2 linked regions of the Sus scrofa genome follow. The protein of the gene in region 2 interacts with the protein of the main gene of each other region in a pairwise test. Links are inferred from orthologs where the notes say so. Each region holds a gene or a part of one and is shown on either strand. Other genes may lie near its edges.

Region 1 (4,180 bases), on a different chromosome or scaffold from region 2:
ACATGCTTTTTTCCATTGCAATAAAGTGTCTTTTTGGTCTGAATGCTTCAACCCATATGAAATTTGTCACCTATTTCTTCTAATCAGGCTTCAGGTCTTTGGATCTTCAAAGAGATTTCTATGATATTACACTGTTTGGTTTTTCCACTGCTGAATTTCAGATGTTTCTCTACAACAAGGTATCCAAAGCATCTGTGTTACCTGAGCTTCCAGTGGTGCTTCTGAGCAGCTGTAGTAAGAAGCAGTGTCCTCCCCACTGGCTTGGGAGTCTAAAAGACAGAAATAGAAATAAAGTAAGCAAGGGAGTTCCCGTCATGGCTCAATGGTCAACGAACCCTACTAGTATCCGGGAGGATGCTGGTTCAATCCCTGGCCTTGCTCAGTGGGTTAAGCGTTTGCCGTGAGCTGTGGTGTAGGTCACAGACATGGCTCAGATCCTGCATTGCTGTGGTTGTGGCACAGGCTGGCAGCTGCAGCTCCGATCAGACCCCTAGCCTGGGAACTTCCATATGCTGTGGGTACGGCCCTAAAAAAAAAAAAAAAAAAGGAAAGAGAAAAAGTAAGCAGGAGTCTAGCATCTAACCCTCTCCAGGATCATCAAGAAAGGTAAAAAAACCACAAAGATATTAAAAGTCTAGGAGTCCCTGACATGTCCTTTTCTCCAGAGTTAACAGCACATTTATCCAGAGTGCCCAGGCAGTTGAACAGAGAAAAAGCCATCCAGTAAGCTCTAATTTGTAGGAAGACATCCCTGCGAAAAATTTTCCACCTGTCAAACTTCACTGCTTTCATTAACATCATATTCTTTTTTTTTTTTTTTTTTGCCTTTTGAGGGCCACACCCAAAGCATATGGAAGTGCACAGGCTAGGGGTGGAATCGGAGCTGTAGCTGCTGGCCTACACCACAGGCAGAGCAATGTGGGATCCGAGCCTCGTCTGGGTCCTACACCACAGCTCACACCAAAGCCGGATATTTAACCCACTGAGTGAGGCCAGGGATCAAACCTGCCTCCTCTTGGATACTAGGGGGGGTTTGTCACCAGTGAGCCATGATGAGAACTACATCGTATTCGTCATTCTCTATCTGTACCTATTCCCAAAGATTAAATTTACTTCCAATCCCAATTTTAGGTAAATGCACAAATAAATGTGGAAGACTCAAATTGTGTCCATGTGAACAAAGGGAAGCAGGAAAAATCAACCTCATGGATTTCACTTGATTCAGCACTGTTGAAAACACAGACGTGGAGGTTATTTAAACGAGAAAAGCGGTACTAGAGGAAAAAGAACAATTATTTATGTTTCTGGGGCAGAAAAAGAGGTCAAGGGGGAGTCACTCAAGAGGAAGCATTATTAACAGATTTCCAGGGTTTAAAAAAAAAAATAACAGGTTCCTGTGTGTGTGTGCATGTGTAAAATTTTCTAAGTGACAACTTTGTACTAAGTGCTGAATCAAGTGTGACACAAACTGAAAGCATTGCCTTCATCCTCACCTAGCTAACAATGGGGAAACAAAATTCATGTTAAGCTGTCAATATCTGAATCTTCACACACCAGAAACAATAAGCACTGAAGAAGAGAGTCTTAACCTCTGAAAACAGAGAAAGCAGCACTGACCAGTACTTGGAGAAACTACCCACTGTGCTGTCCAAGTCCTACAGAACCCTGCAAGCCTCAAACCAAACTGAAGACATTTCTCTCAAGATCTACACGGTGCGTGGGTACAATAAATGCGACAAGACAGGAAAACAAGGTAGAAACACAAATCTTTGGTTCCATAAACACAACTTTTCACAGTGGGCACAGTCTGTATACCCTCTTTGCCAGCAGTTCCAGTAAGTGAAAAGCAGTTAGCTTTCTCCCTCATTTCCAAGAGAAACTGGGGTCACACATTCAATCCCAGAATGATCCTTGCTCCATACAATTAAAATATTAAAGAAAACCTGCCTCTAGGTCACTGAGGGGTTAGCCAATCACAAGCTAATAAAAGGACTGAAAGAGGCAAAAGGTCTGCGGGAATGACAACAAAGAGCCAAGCCTGAGCACCAGGTTCCCACGACGGCAAAACACATTTCGGAATCTGAAACCTCGTCACTGTAGGGGCTCAATGAGGATTTCTCCAGGGGAAGACCTAACTTGCGAGCCCAACCGAGCTAACAGGAAAGGGGGACCATTCCGGAGAACTGCCAACACTGCCAGCAGAGCCCGGAATCAAGAGGCTGATCCCAGCCTAAGACTCGAATTCGCTGAGAGAGGTGCGCCCGCCAGAAAGAGAGGAGCTTAGAAGAGACCAGGGGTTATGGCTTCCCGTGAACCCTCAGTCCTCTCAACAACAGAGGAAGGGCCCGAATTTGGGAAATCTGCGGTCAGAAAGTCGGGGTCGACCTTTCAGGCAGAGGGGCAGGGGCGAGGCCCCGCAGGCAATGCTTCCTTGTTTGGGGGCAGCTTCCCGCCCCCAGGACTCGGATACCTCGGCCCACAGGGACACAGCCTGGGGCCGCTCTCTGGGCCGGGCCAGTGAGAAGCGGTCGGGGGTCTAGGCGCGGCCTCTTTCGCTCCCTCGGTCCGCGGGGCAACCGGCTCCGGGGGGCCACTTCCTCCAGAGCTGCGAGCCCAGGCCTCATTGGCCGCAGTAAGGCCGACTCGGTAGCCCCCACTCCCGGCGACACTCACCGGCCCATCTCACGGCGCTCCCCGGGCTCCTCCCTCTTGTCCCGGAGCCGCCGCAACCGCGGCCGCCGCCATCCCCGGCGCCGGAGCCGCCCCACACCCAGCGCCCCCCCAGCCGGGCGCCCGGAGATGGCGTCAAGCGCGTACCGCCCCCGGCGCGGGGAGATTACGTCACGACCCGGACTGGCGAGCAATGCCCGGAGTACCGGGGAAGGGAGGAGGCTGGCTACCCGCCCATTGCCCCCAGCGCCCCCTCTGGTGGGAAAACGAACTCCTCCTCCTGGGTCCGGTCACGTGAATAGGGCCTGGCCAGGCGTCCTCACCCTGACCCTACAATGACCCTGCAGTCTCTACTCAATAAACTTTGGGGGCTACAAAAAGAGCCCTGAGGCGTGGTGGTCAGCGATCCTCATTTCCTGGACAGTCTTGTGAAGCTCTTCTTGGGAACCTCGGGAAACTTTGAGACAAGCCCGGCCCAGGAGAGTAAAGGGATTCCCCTAGAGATTTAGGAGTTAGAAATGGCTCTGAGAGGGATGAGAATGGACAGAACCCAGGATTCAGGGGAAGGTGAAGCTACTGACTAGAATGTCTTGAGGAATGAGAGGAAGGGGGTTAGCTAGTTACGATGGCAAGCAGCCTAATTTAGTGGCAAGAGGGCCTGAGTACTCCATGAGCTATTATTAGGTCACCCTTCCTTGCCAGTTAACTAGTCGACTTTATATAAACATCTGATTAACTTAAGTGGAAAAAAATTAACATCAGTTGAACATGTGCTTTGATTACAACTATGTACGAAAAGTAGTTCTGCGTCCAGACAGAAGCTGGGCTGAGAAAAAAATAACTTTAGCTATTGGAGAGATTGGATTCTGAGTAGATTTTCCCCTTTTCAGTTGCTGCAAATTTTGTGCAGTAAGTAGTAGCTGACTTTTGTTTGATTTTGAAAGTACTATCCAGCCTTACGAAAGTTGCTTTACAGAGTTCCTGTGGTGGTGCAGTGGTTAATGAATCTGACTAGGAACCATGAGGTTGCAGGTTTGATCCCTGGTCTTGCTCAGCAGGTTAAGAATCTGGCATTTCCATGAGGTGTGGTTGTAGGTTGCAAACGTGGTTCAGATGTGGTGTTTCTGTGGCTCTGGTGTAGGTTGGGGTCTACAACTCCAATTGGACCCCTTCATATACAGTGGAGAGCGGCCCTGGGGGGGGGTCATTTTACTATTTGAGACTTGGGTTTTTCCACTTTTTCTTTTTTTCCCCTTTTTTTTTTTGCTTTTTTATGGCCACACCTATGGCATATGGAGGTTCCCAGGCTAGGGATCTACTTGGAGCTACAGCTGCCAGCCAGTGCCACAGCAACACCAGATCCAAGCTGCATCTGTGACCTACACCACAGCTCACGACAATGCCAGATTCCCGACCCACTGAGTGAAGCCAGGGATTGCACCGGAAACCTCATGGTTCTTAGCTGGATTCGTTTCTGCTACACCACGGCGTGAACTCCTCCACTTTTTCT
Region 2 (3,978 bases):
ATGCCCATAATAATATGCCTCTGAAATTGCCCAGATAATGTATTCCTTGGGATAGGGTCTACCGCTTTGCTGTCTAAAACTGTAGTTACTAGTCACTTGTGGCTATTGTGCTCTTGAGATATGCTTAGCCTAAAAACACTGGATTTTGAAGATTCAATATGAAAACAGGAACATAAGGAGTTCTGTGGAGCAGTGGGTTAAGGATATGGCATTATCACTGAAGCAGCTTGGTAACTTCCACATGCCATGGATGCAGCCAAAAAGAAAAAAAAAAAGGAACATAAAATATCTCCTTAATAACTTCAAAGTATTGGGAGTTCCCGACATGGCTCAGTGGAAACAAATCTGACGTATCCATGAGGACGCAGGTTCGATTCCTGGCCTTGCTCAGTGGGTTAAGGATTCTGCCTTGCCATGAGCTGTGGTCACTGATGCAGCTTAGATCTGGCTGTGATGTAGGTCAGCTCAGATTCAACCCCTAGTCTTGGAATTTCTATATGCCGCACGTGAGGCCCTAAAAAGACCAAAATAATAATGATAATAATAACAATTTTGAAGTATTGATTACACGTTGAAATATTTTGAGCTTAAATGAGTTACTAAATATCATTTTTTAAAATTTATTTTGCTTTTTAGGGCTGTACCTGGGGCACAGGGAAGTGCCCAGCCTAGGGGTCCAATTGGAGCTGCAGATGCCACAATCACAGCAACATGGGATCTGAGCTGCATCTGCGATTTGCACAGCTCAGGGCAACAGGGGATCCTTAACCTACTAAGGAGGCCAGGGATCAAACCGAGTCCTCACGGATACTAATCAGGTTCCTTAACCACTGAGCCATGACAGGAACTCCTTTATATTCATCTTCTGTTTCAACATCTTAGTCTGCATTTACTGCTGACAGCAGAAAGCCTTTACAACTAGGTGTTGAGGGAGTCATCAGGTAAGGATGTGCCCACAGGGTGGCAAGCAACAACTGCAAAGTTCAGACCACACACCAACCAGCATGGCACTCCTTCGGCACGCAAGGCCAAACACCTGTGCTTATGTTCGATTAAAAAACAAAACAAAACATATTTATTTCCGATTTTGTTCTGGTGAATTGATGGGGGTGGAGAACCCGTGGATAAACAAACATTTCTGCGAATTCAAATACCATTCACAAACCAGGGTAGGGGAAGAAAGGATGGATATTTCCTGAAGGAAGGTTAACGTGGAGAATAGGTCAATTCCCGGCTTGCTCACTCAATCTCTACTCTGGGTGGAGAAATAAAATGCCAGGAATTCGGAACTTCAGCTAAAGGCAACACTGCTCTAAGTTCGAGGCACTGGGAAAAGAGGGCCACATTCCTAAAGTTATTCCAGTGTAAAACTTCGCCGTACTAACTTCCTCCAGCCCTGCCTGCAATTGTTCTTCGATTCTCCCGCCAGCTCAAGATCCTTCCCCGCCTTCGTCCACCTCCAGACCTTTCCAGGCCACCTCTGAAGCGCCTCGCGGACGCCATCTTACACAACACTATCGCGAGATATACTTAGCCGTCTCGAGCCTGACTCGTTTACTTTCTTGCGAGAAGCTCTTCCCTGCTGTTCTCGCCGTAGCTAAAGAAAGTGTCGCGAGAGCTGGTTGCCTTGGCTCCCTGTAGCTATAGCAGCCGCGGCGGTTAAGGATGCGGTGGCAGAAGCGGTGAGTGCGACACCCTCAGGGGGGCGGGGCCGGAGGTAACGGGGTGCTGGGGGTAGCGCCTAGGGAGGGGGTGGGGAAGGTCGGGTCGCGGGAGGAATGGGCCCGAGTGTGACGTGTGGGGTAGGACGCGGGTCTTGTGGGTATAGGGACAGGGCGCCGGTCTGCACTAGGGCACGCGGGAGGGCTGGAGCTGCCGGGAGGTCCCGGAGGAAGGGACCCGGGTGTAGTAGGGCTCAAGGGGCAGGGGCGGGAGTGTAGAAGGGTGTGTGTGTGTGTGTTCTGTGTGTTGGGAGCAAGATGGTTATGGGACTCCAAATTGGATAATGAGACCAGGCTACACTGGGAATAAGTGGGGAGAAGCGGGGTACAGCCAGGTGGAGGCTATGTTGAATGGGAGCCCAGAGGTTGGGCCCGGTTTGCTTTGCCCTAGCGGATATGGGGGGTTGCGGTGTCAGACCATCGCAGTTTCCTGGGGTCCGCATGAGGATGGTGGGGGACTGCGCGCTAGGACCTAAAATGCATGGCGGGAGTGGTGGTGTCCCGGACCTTCACCGCCCCTTCCAAAGAAATCCTTCACGCACTCTGAGATGTGAAAGGAGAGTCCTGCTGAAATAGTATTAGTTGGGAAGCTTCTTTGGGTGGAAAGACTGTGAGTGGGAGAATGAATGATTTCTGCTCTGAAATAAAGTGTGGGATGGGGGCGGGAGAGAGAAATTCCTGAGAAAAAAACGATGTGCTTCTTCTGAATCGTATTGAGTTGGAAGAAGGGGGTGTGTGTTGAGCTCACGTTTCTTCCCAGATTCATTCAAGTGTAGAATTCTTTTACGGTATACTTATGAATTTATATATGCAGTGTAAAAATCAGTTTAGATGATGCAGTAAAAGAATGTGTAGTACTACATTTAAACCTTAACTCAAATGTAATTTAAAAACTAAGAAAAGTGTTTCTGTTGCAGCAGTACCAGGCTGAACACCAGGGATAGTTTTAGTGCTGGAATATAAAAACCTAGTGTTCCGAAAGTGTGCCTACTCAGATTGTTTGCCTTTTAGAAAATAAAGTTTTATTTTAGGAGACAGGGTTTTGAATATCTGTTAATAAAAGGAGTCTTCCAGGAGTTAAAAATCACTGAGAGATCAAAACATTTACTCTCAGTCTCAAAGACTATTTTATAGAGACAAGTTTGGACCACTTTGCTGTTAACTCTTATTTCTAGTGAAAACAATGGCTTCAGTTCAGGCATAAAAATAATTTATTTCAATGTGCAGATATAAGCTTTTTGATAATTTTTTTCTCACTATCTTTTGTAGGTATAAATTTGCAGGACATAACCTCTCTTTTGATTATGTAACTGAATTTTTCCATGTTGAGGTTCACAAATTCATTAGTTAAAAAAATGGATTTTAATACTTCTGTAGCTAGCCTTGATGTGGTTAGTCATTGAACCTATGTATTTTATATGTGTTAGACTAAAACTTTTAGTTTGTAATTTTAGTAGCTGAGCTTTAAAGTTGAAGTGCTTTTCTGAAGCAAGATAAAGCTTTATGTGGTTGGGTCCAAATGATTTCTCCATGAATCCATTGACGAGCTTTACCGAGTTCCTGTTATGTGTAGAGTATTGTGTGAGGCATTGCAAAGGGAGAAGAAAGATTAATTCATTCATTTATCCATTCAACAAACATTTATTGAGAGCTATTTTGTGTCTGATTTCCAAGCCTTCAGGATACAAGTAAGCTTTGCTCTTTGCCTTAGAATTTCTCAGGACTTTAGGAAGGAGAGAAGGAGTAACAAATCATTACAATGTAGTAAACACAAGACACATGTGAACACAGGTTATGAAACAAGGTTCTGGCTCTGGGAGTTTACAAAGTAGTTGACCAGACTAAAATGGAAGAATTTTTTAATATTACTAAATAATAAGCAAATTCTAAACTATGCTGTATTAATAAAACACAAACCATGTTTCTCGAAAGAGATAAAGATTAGAATGGAAGCTTGAGAAAATTCACGGGTCGGTTAATAATTTAATAGTCTTTAGTCTTTTTATAGTACTCATTTTGCTTTTTAGGACCGCACCTGCAGCATATGAAGGTTCTCAAACTAGGGGTTGAATTGGAGCTGCAGCTGCCAGCCCACCAGCCCATGGCAACGCTGTATAGAGGCCAGGGGTCCATCCTGCATCCTCATGGATACCAGCCGGATTCGTTATTGCTGAGCCACAAGGAACTCCTAAAGTACTCTTTTAAAATAAACATCACTGAACATTCTTTTTTTTTTTTGTCTTTTTGCTATTTATTG

The links.
Region 1: the proteins of USP54 (region 2) and ATXN1L interact in binary tests that used the Homo sapiens proteins (3 or more experiments, as listed by UniProt). The link is inferred for Sus scrofa from reciprocal best matches to the Homo sapiens genes USP54 and ATXN1L.

The regions. Positions count from the first base shown.
Region 1 is NC_010448.4:14,835,352-14,839,531, reverse strand, and holds the start of ATXN1L (ataxin-1-like), read right to left. Parts: upstream 2,801-4,180; 5' UTR 2,674-2,800; intron 270-2,673; 5' UTR 202-269; intron 1-201. UniProt on the Homo sapiens protein: Chromatin-binding factor that repress Notch signaling in the absence of Notch intracellular domain by acting as a CBF1 corepressor. Binds to the HEY promoter and might assist, along with NCOR2, RBPJ-mediated repression.
Region 2 is NC_010456.5:76,437,043-76,441,020, reverse strand, and holds the start of USP54 (inactive ubiquitin carboxyl-terminal hydrolase 54), read left to right. Parts: upstream 1-1,178; 5' UTR 1,179-1,682; intron 1,683-1,768; exon of another isoform or gene 1,769-1,802; intron 1,803-3,978.